2 linked regions of the Schizosaccharomyces pombe genome follow. The protein of the gene in region 2 binds, or shares a complex with, the protein of the main gene of each other region. Each region holds a gene or a part of one and is shown on either strand. Other genes may lie near its edges.

Evidence for each region.
Region 1: shd1 (region 2) and end3 share a complex: the UniProt entries of both Schizosaccharomyces pombe proteins name them as parts of the PAN1 actin cytoskeleton-regulatory complex.

The regions. Positions count from the first base shown.
Region 1 is NC_003423.3:1,757,367-1,762,271, reverse strand, and holds end3 (actin cortical patch component End3), read left to right. Parts: upstream 1-1,892; coding exon 1,893-2,040; intron 2,041-2,110; coding exon 2,111-2,187; intron 2,188-2,411; coding exon 2,412-3,314; 3' UTR 3,315-3,869; coding exon of another isoform or gene 3,870-3,970; 3' UTR 3,971-4,083; downstream 4,084-4,905. Other genes in the region: mRNA turnover and ribosome assembly protein Mrt4, read right to left, coding at 480-1,088, 1,424-1,540; protein Fis1, read right to left, coding at 3,870-3,970, 4,084-4,465. UniProt on the Schizosaccharomyces pombe protein: Component of the PAN1 actin cytoskeleton-regulatory complex required for the internalization of endosomes during actin-coupled endocytosis. The complex links the site of endocytosis to the cell membrane-associated actin cytoskeleton.
Region 2 is NC_003424.3:3,496,992-3,504,649, reverse strand, and holds shd1 (Sla1 family protein Shd1), read right to left. Parts: upstream 5,628-7,658; 5' UTR 5,602-5,627; coding exon 5,368-5,601; exon of another isoform or gene 5,222-5,367; coding exon 1,193-5,221; 3' UTR 735-1,192; downstream 1-734. Other genes in the region: fatty acid alpha-oxygenase Mpo1, read right to left, coding at 1-228, 273-339, 381-389; rps502 (40S ribosomal protein uS7), read left to right, coding at 7,264-7,373. UniProt on the Schizosaccharomyces pombe protein: Component of the PAN1 actin cytoskeleton-regulatory complex required for the internalization of endosomes during actin-coupled endocytosis. The complex links the site of endocytosis to the cell membrane-associated actin cytoskeleton.

The sequences.
Region 1 (4,905 bases), on a different chromosome or scaffold from region 2:
TAAAGTACAAAATGCGGCATATCGACGGTCAAAAGAACAATCAGTTTCGTTGTTTCCATTCTTTCGTACGTTACGAAAGCAACAATTGGAGTTTGGAAATCAACTTTTAGGGCCTTCACAGCGAAAGTGAAACTAGCAAACTAACTTTACCATGTCAACGTGCTACATGACTCATTTTAAAGTGTATAAAAATATTATTCATATATTTTCATCCGCTATGGAAAAGAAATAACCAATAATCCCCCAAAAGTAAGTAAAAGAAAAGAAAGAGTACATATCTCTATGTAAATTTATCAGAGCATGAACAAAAAACCATTGTTTTAAATCCAAAGTCCGTCAACTATGCAAGCACGGTAACACAGGGCTTTCACTAATCTAGTAACCCTTCTTTTCATTTTATTTTATCCGAAAATAAAAAGCAAAAAACTTTGATAATGCAATAGTGCACGCGATGTGTCCATTTAACTGTAATATACATTTTACTCCATGGCTTCGTCTGCACCAGGTGCGGATTGAAGAAACTCAACAGAAGCACCTTTCTTTGAATAATAGCCCAAAAGCCCAACCTTAAACTCAGCAGCCGTGATTCCAAATAACTTCAGCAAACGTGTTTGACGACTGTCCAGTTGTTGACCTTCAGTACAAAGAGGGAAATCAGCTAACAACGTCACAACACCATTCTTCAAAACAGTAGGCATACCAAGTTGACGAACTTGTGGCTCTAATGTATGGGTCAACAAAATATCATCTTCGACGGGAATTTGACCAGCACGAGAATAAACAGGACCAGCAGGAATAACATGAGTAAAAGGAGCAACAGCGCCAGCGCGAGCAAAGTCGTTTTGGACGAAGGATTCAAAGTATCCAATAACTTCATCGGGCTTAGAGTTTGTGAATAATAAGCCGACGGCACCATGAAGCAATTTTGTAAGCTTGCTAACGTTCTCGGCATGTTCTTCCTCAGGCGTGTGTCCTAACGCCTTTGCCATGACCTTAGTTTTTCCCATAAAAATACGACTACCCTTCCAATCATCACGGATACGTTTTAAATATGTGTTTCTCATATTAGTGACATCAAAAATCCACATCTATTGAAAATAAACAGTTAGTAAAACAGCCATTTAAAATTTTATACGATCGAGTAGAAGGTGTAAACAGATGGGTATTTGTTAGCAGTGCTAATAAATAAGTAGATAATTGGAAAAAAAAGTATAACTTTAAAACCTCAACGAGAACTCATAATCTAAAAAGCTGTACTGTTGAATTTCAACTTCAAAGCATTTGGAAACACCTTCGTACAAAAATAGACAATTCAATCACTAAAAATAAGCATCTAAATCCATGATGCTCGTTTTTCTCATTTTGTAATCCTTCAGCACGATATTTCTGTTACAACTCCTCAACCGAGCCCATTTTCACTTACATAGTCAAACGAATCCAGCGATTGCTGTACTCCAGAGAAAAGAGCAGCCTTTCCTTCATGACCCTTTTTCTCAGTTTGAGCGAGAGTCAAAACTTTCGACCTCCTTGATTTTGGCATTTCTTCCTCTTTTCTCTGCAAAAATTGTTGTTGGCAGAGGTAACGATTTTACCATACTCTTTACAGGTATTCATTGAAAAATGCAGCGCGCTAGGCTTTGATATTTAAGGATAGAGTATTATTGTTGTGCTTAATTGCGTTTCGTAATTTTAACGGGGAAATGCCGCGCAACTTCCGAATCACATCCGGTAGTCTGTGAGCTTACCGTAAACAAGACACGTAGTATGAGCAAACATTGGAAAAAGGTAAAAGAAAGGTCAATATACTGAGTTCTTTTACTTTTCCACTGGCCGTACACGATTCAGGAGAATTAGATATTTTAGGGTATTAAAATTTACTAGAACTCGACATAATGGATCCCCAAGAGAAAAATAAGTATTGGGAAATTTTTCGCGGCTTGAATCCAGAAAATGGCTATTTATCAGGATCCAAAGCTGCTGGAGTCCTCCGTAGTAGTAAGCTTTCAAGCGATAAATTGGAAAAAATTTGGGATTTAGCAGGTACGGAAAACATGAGTTTGCGGTCTGAGTCGTTTAATCGAACGTGTGCTAATGTTACGAATATGGATAGATATTGATGATGATGGAATGTTTGATTTTGATGAATTTGCAATTGCTATGAAAATCACCTTTGATTTGATTAATGGGGTATGAAACCACTTACTTTACTCATGAATGAACCTGTGAAGCATGGATTAAATAAATGTAAAAAGATGGAATAAGATATGAATGATTTAAGAAGACGGCGCTTGCGTAAAGCCTTCATTTTTTCTTTTATCCCTTCCACTTGTTTGATTGTTTTTATTGTGAAAGGCTACCTTTGGTTTTTAGGGTTTCTTTTTTTGTCTATTTTCATCATTTCTAACCATTAGGTTTACAAAACCGTTCCAGATAGAGTACCCGAGGCGTTGGTGTCTACTTCCAAAAAGCATTTAGTAGCAGCTCGAGATGCTCTTCGTGGAAATGATGATATTGCTCTCTTACACAAAGTACCTTCGCTTGATACCGACCCGGAAGATGCCGTTTTAAAAGATGGATTTGATTGGTACATTTCTCCATCCGATAAAATTCGATATTCCGATATTTACTCCCTACATTGCAATAAACACGGAGAAGTATCTTTTAATGGCCTGGCACCTGTATTTACTCCTTTTGGGGTTCCCAACTCTCAAATTCAGAAGGCTTGGAAACTTGTCAATCCTCAGGGTACTGAAACCATACAGAAAGATCAGTGTTTAGTATTTTTGCACATCCTTACTCAGAGATCCAACGGATTCCGTATTCCTAATGATGTCCCGTACAGTTTAAAGGCTAGTTTTAAGAGAGGAAATATCGATTATAATTTAGATTCCTACAACTCTACTAATAACTATTACTCTTCACCTACAATGGCTCCATCTACGGGTGGTGCGAAGCCGAAGAGTGATCTTGATGCCCCGAGGGATGTGAGAGACTCTGACTGGGAGCTGATTTCATTAAGAAATGAGCTGTCCAAATTGGACGAAAAGATTCTTTCCCTTCAACGTGAAACTGACGATGTTAACATTGCACAAAATAAGTCAAAGCTTATTCAACGTGATTTACAGAAAGTACTTGACTATAAGTTGGGTATCCTTCAATCTCTAAAAAATGATGGACCAAATGGCCCCAGCGCTTCCGCCATTGATAATGACTTAAAAATGCTGGAACAACAACTTAATGTTTTGGGACGTCACTTGGAAGGTCGGAAGTCTCAAGTGGCTAAGCTAGAGGAAAGGCTTCGTAGTCTGTCTTAACAAAATCTCGTTTATAAAGCTCATCATCTCAAATACTTGAGTCTTTGGATGTTTTCTTGGAAAATCGACGAAGGTACACTCTTTCTTTCTTTCTTTATTGGGCTTAATAAACTGTTCAAACAGGAAGAGGGAATTGGATTGTAAAATCATTCATTAATGTCCATCATTATATTTTTTGGTTTAATCGATACAAAACTTTTGAATTAGTATAAAAGGAGGAACTTATTCAGCTTTTATAATAAATACTCACTCTCTTTTTATAACAATCTAAAACCTCCTTGAGGTAAATTTATTACCCTGCTGTTAAGAAGAAACACAAGCGAATTCAGAACTATCAACTGGGTAAGAAGAAAAGATAATATAATAAAAACAACAAGCTTCGATTTATAATCTTCTTTTTCTAAAAAAAGTGCACACTATAATGTCTCCCAAAGCCTTCGTAACTCATACGCGTTTCATGAAAAGGATACATCCACAATCCTATTGTTCGTAAGGAGAAAAAATTGAAGAATTTATGCAAAAGAAAGCTCCCTTGTGATTAATATCGTTTACGGTTTAAGGACGACGCTTTGAAAACAACCGTTTTGATGCCCAACCTACAAGAGCTGCAACTGACACCACTGCACCAGCTACCACAACCATTCCAATGTATCCTTCTAAAAACGGGTTAGTAATGATTCTTTTCATTATTTATAACGCATCTTTCTAACATAAACACAACATTCATGCATATGTGATACCTCATTAAGTTTTATTAAAATAAACATACCTTTTGTAACAGCATCGTAAAGACGGTTTTTTAGCTTTAAAGCCTCTGGGCTATTTGGATCTTTGGATAACAACATATTGAGATAACGACGGGATTCTTCATACTGCTTCAATTTGTAATGGGACAAAGCAATGTAGTAGAGGCATTCCAAACGCCTTTCCGGTGAATCTTTGTAAATGCTGCAGAACAAAGATAATCCCTGTTGTACATGCTGTGTAGAATCTGAGCGTACCAATGCCCAAGCAAGGTTAAATTTGGTTTGTAAAGTAATCAGAGGTTGTTCTGCATCGTATTGTTCCTTGATTTGTAGAAACTCATCAACAGAAATAATTGAATCAATAGCAGAAGGATCAGCGAGGCGAAGGGTGTGTTTTTCAGTCATGATGTCGTTATTGCTTCCTATATTGGTCTTTGAATGTGCCTTAATTATTTTAAAGGCGGATTAATATAAATAAACGGAAAATGTTGAAAAAACTACAGTCACTTGAAAAAAAATTCAACAACTCAAATATAAAAGAAGAAAAAAAGGGTTGAGTATGATGCAAAAATGCTAAATTATCAATGTAAACAGCCAATTCCAATTATAAAGGATTTGAGGCGCAAATGAGTGAACTACAAGGATAATGGATTTCCAAAGCAATAGAAAAGTCCAGAAATCCGATTTAGTAAGAATATGGATATGCTTTTTCCACAAAAATTTGAAACAGAGAAGGAATGAAATGAAGATTCGTTTGTGAACGCCATCGCCAACAATTTATGTAAGGAAGAACTTAAGGATATGGCAAAACATTTCACAAAATATTTATTACAAATTGTGGCGTA
Region 2 (7,658 bases):
CTAGGCTTCTGGAGAAGATTGTAAATAGCTTGGATGGCAAGATATAGGAAAACAAGTAAAGTACCGGAGAATAAAGGAGACCATCTAATGGATCTAAAGTTACATAAAAAATCTGATAAGCTAGCCCAACTAGATGAGCAACATTTATTTGAAGCTTCGAGTTTATCAATGTTATTACAAAATTATGTAACAAAACTAAGGCAGTCAACAATAATAATGGAATGCAAACTTCTAAGTTAGTTTAACCAGTTTATCTGAAAAATCTATCTCACCTTGATGGATTTTTATATTGACGGGATTGGAATGGTAAGCGGCGTAAAATGAATAGCTTCTGCTAAGCTAATTACTATTAGAATGGATTTTTCTTCATAGATTCTTACATAAGTCATTTCTTTGTTTTAATTTAAAACACTGGTTAACATGAAATACTTGAAATTTCACGAATTTTCCTGTTTTCCAAGTGTATGTCGAAAAGGCGATTGTGATGTAACAGCTAGTACAGGACGGCAAATTAAATAGACAATTCGATTCAATATGCTGTAACGATGATGGATTAAATATAAAATTCCTTTGTCTAGCATACTACCAATTTCTTTGTAAAAACGTTTAATGTTAAGTCTCCTTTATTTTACATACACTACACTACTACTACACAGCGTTATCCTCGACGGGCCTGATGTCTATCTTACATGTAGGAGCTACATAGTGGAAAATTTAAGGTAAACAACACTAAATCGACAGAACAAGATTAATATCTATTTAGAATGCATATAAAATCAAAGTGAGACGTTGAAACAATTTCCGAGGTACGTCTAAAAACCTCCAAAGGTCTCAAACAAAATCAAACTCTATCAATCATGACCGGTCGTAAACGCTCACGAACACTGAAATGCTATAGGAACGAAAGAGGGATCTAATTATGTTTAGAGATGCGCTAAGATCAATAGTCATCGTCGCATTTGCCCGTTAACAAATATTATTACGATTTAAATGAAAAGCAGCTTTATTAAAGAGCCTAAGGGAAGAATCAATGCTCCGAAAAAAAAAGACAAAGTAAAAGAGGGCGTAAACTGTAACCTAACGCAGATGTTATACCTCAATAATTATACCATTTTACACGAGCAAAATGAAAAGACAGAAAGGAATATTCGGGAAAGCAAAACTATTAAGTTCATCAAAAAATATTTGTTCGTTAAAAACCAAAAGGATTGTCTGGAGTAGCTTGATATATACTGGCTTTCTTACCAGCTTCATTCGCACCTTGCGCTCCACCAAATGATGAATCATAATAATTAGCAGGCTGCGTTTGTTGATTATAATCGGAGGGCATGTATAAAGAAGCATTCGATACAGGATCATAACTCATAGGGTTAGCCATATTCCCAGCAGGTTGAGCATAGCCATATTCAGAATATCCCTCCATTCCGGTTTGATTGTATCCATAGGGTGTCTGTTGTTGCATTTGCATGGGATCGTAATAGTTCGACATCATCGGTTGTTGATAACCCATATCAGGCTGCATTTCTGTACCATAGTATTGTTGCTGTTGCTGTTGCATAGGTGAGTACATTTGTTGTTGCTCGTAACCGAAAGATGTATCTTGACCTCCAGCAAATCCATAGTTCACCGGTGTCTGTGCATTCATGTTATAATATGCCTGTGTATCGTTCATGGATGGTTGCATGCCATAACCATCAGCAGCAGGCATGGCTGTAGGAGTATAGTTTTGCTGGTAGCCAGTGTATTGAGACAGCATTGGTTGTGCGACCATACCAGTTTTTTGAACTTGCACACCAGTCATCTGAGGCTGCATGGGCATTGATTGAGGCATGATACCAGTTACTTGAGGTTGCATACCAGTAGGCTGCATCATGCCAGTAGCTTGGGGCATGATACCAGTAGCTTGAGGTTGCATACCAGTAGGCTGCATCATGCCAGTAGCTTGAGTATGCAGGCCAGTAGGTTGTGTCATTATACCAGTAGCTTGAGCACGGATGCCCGTGGGCTGCGAAATTATACCAGTGGCTTGTGGTTGCATACCAGCAACTTGATAACCATAGTTTACGGGCTGCTGTGGCATAGCCCCAGTCTTCTGAACTTGTACACCAGTCATTTGTGGCATAACTCCAGTCATTTGTGGCACAACTCCAGTCATCTGTGGCATAACTCCAGTCACCTGAGGCATAACTCCAGTCATGTGGGGTTGTAAGCCAGTGGGCTGTACCATTAAAGGTTGATAACCAGTGGCCTGAACAGGAATTGGTTGCATATATCCTGTAGGTTGGATAGGAAGTGCGCTAGGAGGAGGTTGAAATCCAGTTGGCTGTACATACAAAGGAGATTGAAATGGATCGGCAGCCATGGGTTGAGGAGCAGTGAAATATGCATTTTGAATAGTAATATTGCCAGTTGGTTGAGCTGGAATAGGTGCTTGGACCGACTTCTCCGCATCCTTTTTCTCAACAGGTGCTTTCTTTTGTTCCTCAGGTTCAGGGATGGGTGCAGTTCTGGGTCTTGAAGGCGCCTCAGGTTTCTTGGCTTCCTCAGAAATGTTCATTTTGTTCATGGATTCCGTCACACGTGCAGGCTCAACAGTGACAGAAGAAGCACGAACAGGGGGTTCCGTAACAGGTTTGTTAGCCCAAGCATCATCATCGAATTTCTGGGGTGTGGTTGACTTCGGACGAGTCGCTGGTGGACTAGGTGCTTTTTCAACGACCTCCTTGGCAGGTGCTGCTGGAGGAGCAGGTTCGGCAACCGGCGCTGGGATGGGGGCAGGTACTGCGACTGGGGCAGCAAGTGCCTCCCCGCCGGACATAATTTGGTTGACTGTGGACTTGGTTTCTGGAGTAATGGCAGATGCAGGTTTTGTTGAGACACCATTGAGTTCATTAACATGATTCATAACACGAATGATATCACCTTCCTTTAATCCCAATGTTCTAAGTGTATCAGGATTTAGAGAAGGTATGCATGCTTCATCCAAATGCTCATTGTTAAAGTTATGGGTGTAGCGGTTACAAACGGTAAAATCTACGCCGCAGCGAAGGAAAAAGTCAAACCAGTCATAAGAGATCTTGGGCCTTTCCTGAATCACATCATATTTGTCATTGCTATGAGAGGAAGAGGGTGGAGCAAGAGCAGGTCTAGTACTTTCAGGACGGGCTGGTTGGGGAGGTGGACCTTCATCCTCCTCTTCAGTCTCTCTGTGCTTCCTATGTTCCCTATCCTTCTTCTTCTCTTTCTCCTTCTCACGATCATGCGACTTGCTATGACTATGGCCATGATCATGGCTTTGCTTCTGTGTATCCTTTTTCCTTTCTGTACGAGAATAAACTTTCTTGCCAGTCATTAATTCAACGTAATCCAGGTCCTTGTACGACATCTTCGCACTGGGAACAGATATTTTCACACCATTAGTTTTGTGTAGATGAATTTTGTCGTCGCTATAGCCCAAAAATTCGGCTTCAACTTTAAAGGCGCCTGTTCGATCAGTCCACGTACGCAGTTTACTGCTGTCAGGTTTACTAACCGAATGGCTCCTTGAACGCTTGCTATCCTCCTTCTTGTCCTTCTTGTCCTTCTTGTCCTTCTCAGCGGACTTGCTCTCACGGTGAGACTCATGTTTGCTTTCTGGTCTTGCTTCATGTTTACTGTCGCGTTTGTGTTTAGATTCGTGCTTGGAAGCCCTTCTAGAAAGCGAGGATCCCTGACCAGATTTCGAAGATGAAGGGGGTGACTTTGCGTCGCCTTCTGTATCGGGCTTAATAAAGTTGCTGGGTACAACACCTTCTTTACCATCAACACTGCATTTCCACCAGTCGCTACTTGCTGTGTCATTGACAATGACCACTCGCATATTCGCTTTCACAGTCAACTCATCAGCAGCCTCCGCGATAAAGTCGTAAAGCACAGTACCCATTTTTTGACCAGCTGAGGAATCCTTTGGCTTATGGTCCTCAGCACGCGCACTTCTGTCGCCGTAAACAGTAGACATTTCATAATCGCCGGTACGGCCTCCGTTTACACCAGCTGCATCGCTAGCAGCATTTAATCGGTGTAAAGCAGAATCTGAAGGTAGTTTAGGCATAGGGCTTCCACTTGCGGCAGCGATTTCTCGAAGACCAGCGGCTCTGGCGGAACCGGCTACGTCACCTAGCGCACGGATAATATTGTCGGCATTAGTGTTAGAGCTCGCATGAAGGTGCAAAGATGTGATACCGGAATCACTATTAAACTCGATAAAAACATGTTTTCGTTCAGAAGAATAATTTACAAGATCGGTAACGGGCCAAACTTGGGCAGCGTCCATGGTCTTAGTAAAAGTAAGAACAATTGACTTATTGTTGATTGCTAAAATACCAGTGCGTTTCTTTTTCTTGCCAACGACTTCACGGACCTCCCATTTTTCGTAGGCAGGATTACCCATGGAGGAAGAGGAATCGTAGGCTCGAGAATCGTCGTGGGAATCGGTGCGCAATTTGAGATGCTGATTAGGATCTCCATATGCATCTGAAGGCGACGAAGGAGAAGGAGGGGAGTCGTAGGAATGAGCCATAGAAGAGGAAGTGCCAGTAGATCTAGTAGACGCATTAGTTGGGGGTCTTGGCGGCTGACTAGGGGTGGCCGGTGGAGGAGGAATATTAACTTGGGAGCCAAGATTATTCACATTACGGGAAGGCATAGGTAGCTGAGAAGTATTAGTAGATTGGGGTGGAAGTGTTGGAGGTGGTGGTGGGGGAGGAGCCGGAAGAGGATCTGCTTGTTTCGGCGTGTACGTGGGAGGAATCTCAGGAGACACGGCTCTGCCAGAGGAGTAGTAGTCATCTGGCTCGTTGGCGTCTGCCGCCTGATCCTCCACTGCCGGAGGAGGTGGTGGTGGTGGTGGGGGGTTGTAGTCAGAGGGCAAGGAAGTAGCTGGAGCAGCAGCACTCGGCGGTTGAAACGAAGGTGGAGGAGAGACCATGGAGTTGGGAGCGCTCACTGTTGGAGCGTTGACACCAGAAGCAGAGGGTTCCTGAGATGCCGGGGCGCTGGACGCATCCATCCCCTCAACGTAGTTTCTCGGAGCAAGTCCGAAATTATTATTAAAACCAACCAAAATCCAATCTGAATCAGTGTCGCCATAACAGTCTAAAGTTTGGTCCGCTTGAAAGGAGATTTCATCAACGGATTGTTGAGTATAATCATACAAAGCTTTCATTTTTGTTGAGGGTTCAGCCTATACACAAAATGGTTAGCAAGCGGCTTTACAATAACATTATTACTAAATGAGCAAAGACAAGACTCGATCTATTTCTCCTTCACGTATCCTATCGCATCAAACATGTAGAAGACCGTGGTCTCTGTCATTTATTCTACACATACCTCAGTAATATAATTTGAAGGAACGATTCCAATTTCTTCATCGTCATCATTACTGTTTACATTCCGTTTGACGAGATACCAATCGTCTTCACCTTTCTCAAGAAGACAAACAATTTCATCCTCAACGATCGAGATTTCTCGTTCGTTTTCTGGAATCTCTTCACCCGGATTGATTTCTTGCGGTTCATAACTGTACAGCACCTTATAGATGCCTATTATAGGTAAATTTGCCATGGCGACAAATGTAGGTTGTACAGTCTGAGTTGATAAACGATGTAGCCAAGGTGGCTTTACCAGATTGTGTAAATGGTAGTGATGAGCAGTGCAACAAGTTAAAGATCTATAACGATGTAGTCAATAATTTGTTAAATAATCATAACAGTAATATTACCCTATTATTTCATTATGGGTTGTTTTACATGATGCAGCGATTCTCGTTATATCCAAGAAATTTAAAAGGTATACGATTTGAAGAAGAAAGGTTTGTTGCTTTTTAACAAATAAAATAATGCTTAAAGGTATGCAAGTTATTTTCTATGGCCTTCCTACCGCCAACTGGTGTTAGCAACTTGGAACCGAATAGTGAGCTGGCAATTGAAAACTACGAAAAGTAAATGACTCGAAGAACCAAGTGTACAAATTGCTGAGTACAAGACCATGCTTTCCAGATCTATATTCTGATGTACTGTACAAAATCCTCGTACATTGTCATCGAATAAAAGTTGCAAACTGTGAATTCAATAAAAATGAAGAAATAAATTACCTACCTTTTTGCTAGTTTAAATTGTTTGCGAGATTGACAAAAAGTCGAATGTTTTTCGTATCCAATGTGAGCTAAGATTTGTCGCAATGTGAATTGAAATATTAATCACATTATTTGTAAGTAAGCAAAGTAAAGGACCGTTTCAAACTTTTCTTAATTTCTTTAATTTGGCTGCTAATATTGACTACAATAAACTATACTTGGTAGCATTATGTTGTATTACTATCGTCAGTGTGGAGTTTTAGTACCAAAAGGCAACAAAAAAATAATTTTCTAGTATAACAACTGCGATTATGGTGAATTCTTTTTTTTTTCTTTTTAATTAGAAAAAAAAAATTAAAAGATTTCGGTGGTTTAATAGTTCACACTCAATTGGGTGTTTCTAATTGTGCGCTGTCAAATTACATGAAAATATGCTAGTATAATAGGGAAAAAATGGATAACAAGAACCCCAAATTAATTAGGCCGTAATTCAATTTTTTATATCATTTATTCGTTATTAAATTGGAGTTTTTTTTGGGTAACAATAGGTACATCTATACTTACAATTAAAAAAAATAAATAAATAAATAAATGAATTATGCTTAAATTCCAAGAAATTCCATAAACTCTATAGTTATCCTATTCAATGGATATAATATTTTTATTTATTAGTTCAATTTAAATTCAATAAATTGTCTGCTGAAATTTAGACGCATGTTGCTATTGCTTATTCTTTAAGCAAGCAATTATTGCATCAGGAATATAATTAACACTCAGTATTACAAACTAGTATATGAAGTATTACTTATATGCTACAAGTATTCAAATAGTTAATAAAAACAAAACAATATTATGTTAACCTCGATTTGCATGCTTCAGCGATCGACCAAAAATACCAGCATATAGAGTAGAAATGTGAAGATAATATAACATAGAGCGCCTTCTATATAAAACTAAAAATCCTAAATGGTAAAAAATTATACAATTTATTACAATTGAGTTAAATCAACAGTTACTACTTTATTCAACATAACAAACATTATTAAGTATCGACAGATAAACCCTACCCTAATTCATTATTGAACGGTCACAAATGTTCGTGTGGGTTTAGTAGGTACATTGCACAAGCTACCGTCTGAACCACCACAGAAATGGCAGCCTCTATCATCCCTAAAGAAGTTTCCTTGGATGAAACTGGACATATCAAATTGTTCAACAAATTTCCTTTTGAAGGTGTTGAAGTGAAGGATATCTCTTTGGTGTATGTATAAGGTGGGATTGTGTTTTCTAGCTGCTAGTAAACTTTCCAGATTTTGTGCTTGGAATTGTCTGAAATATACAAATTCAATTGTAGTTACTTGGTTTCATGAAAGGGAACTGCTGACAATACGTTACTTGGATATGCTGTTGTAATTTTTTTTTTCAGTCAATTCACTAGTTTTACTTGACCTAAACCTTGGAGCAAATGTGGAAAAAGCAGCTGGAAATTACAAAAGTTTTCATTTACACCAACTTTTCATGTTATTTCAGAATTTCTAACTTTATT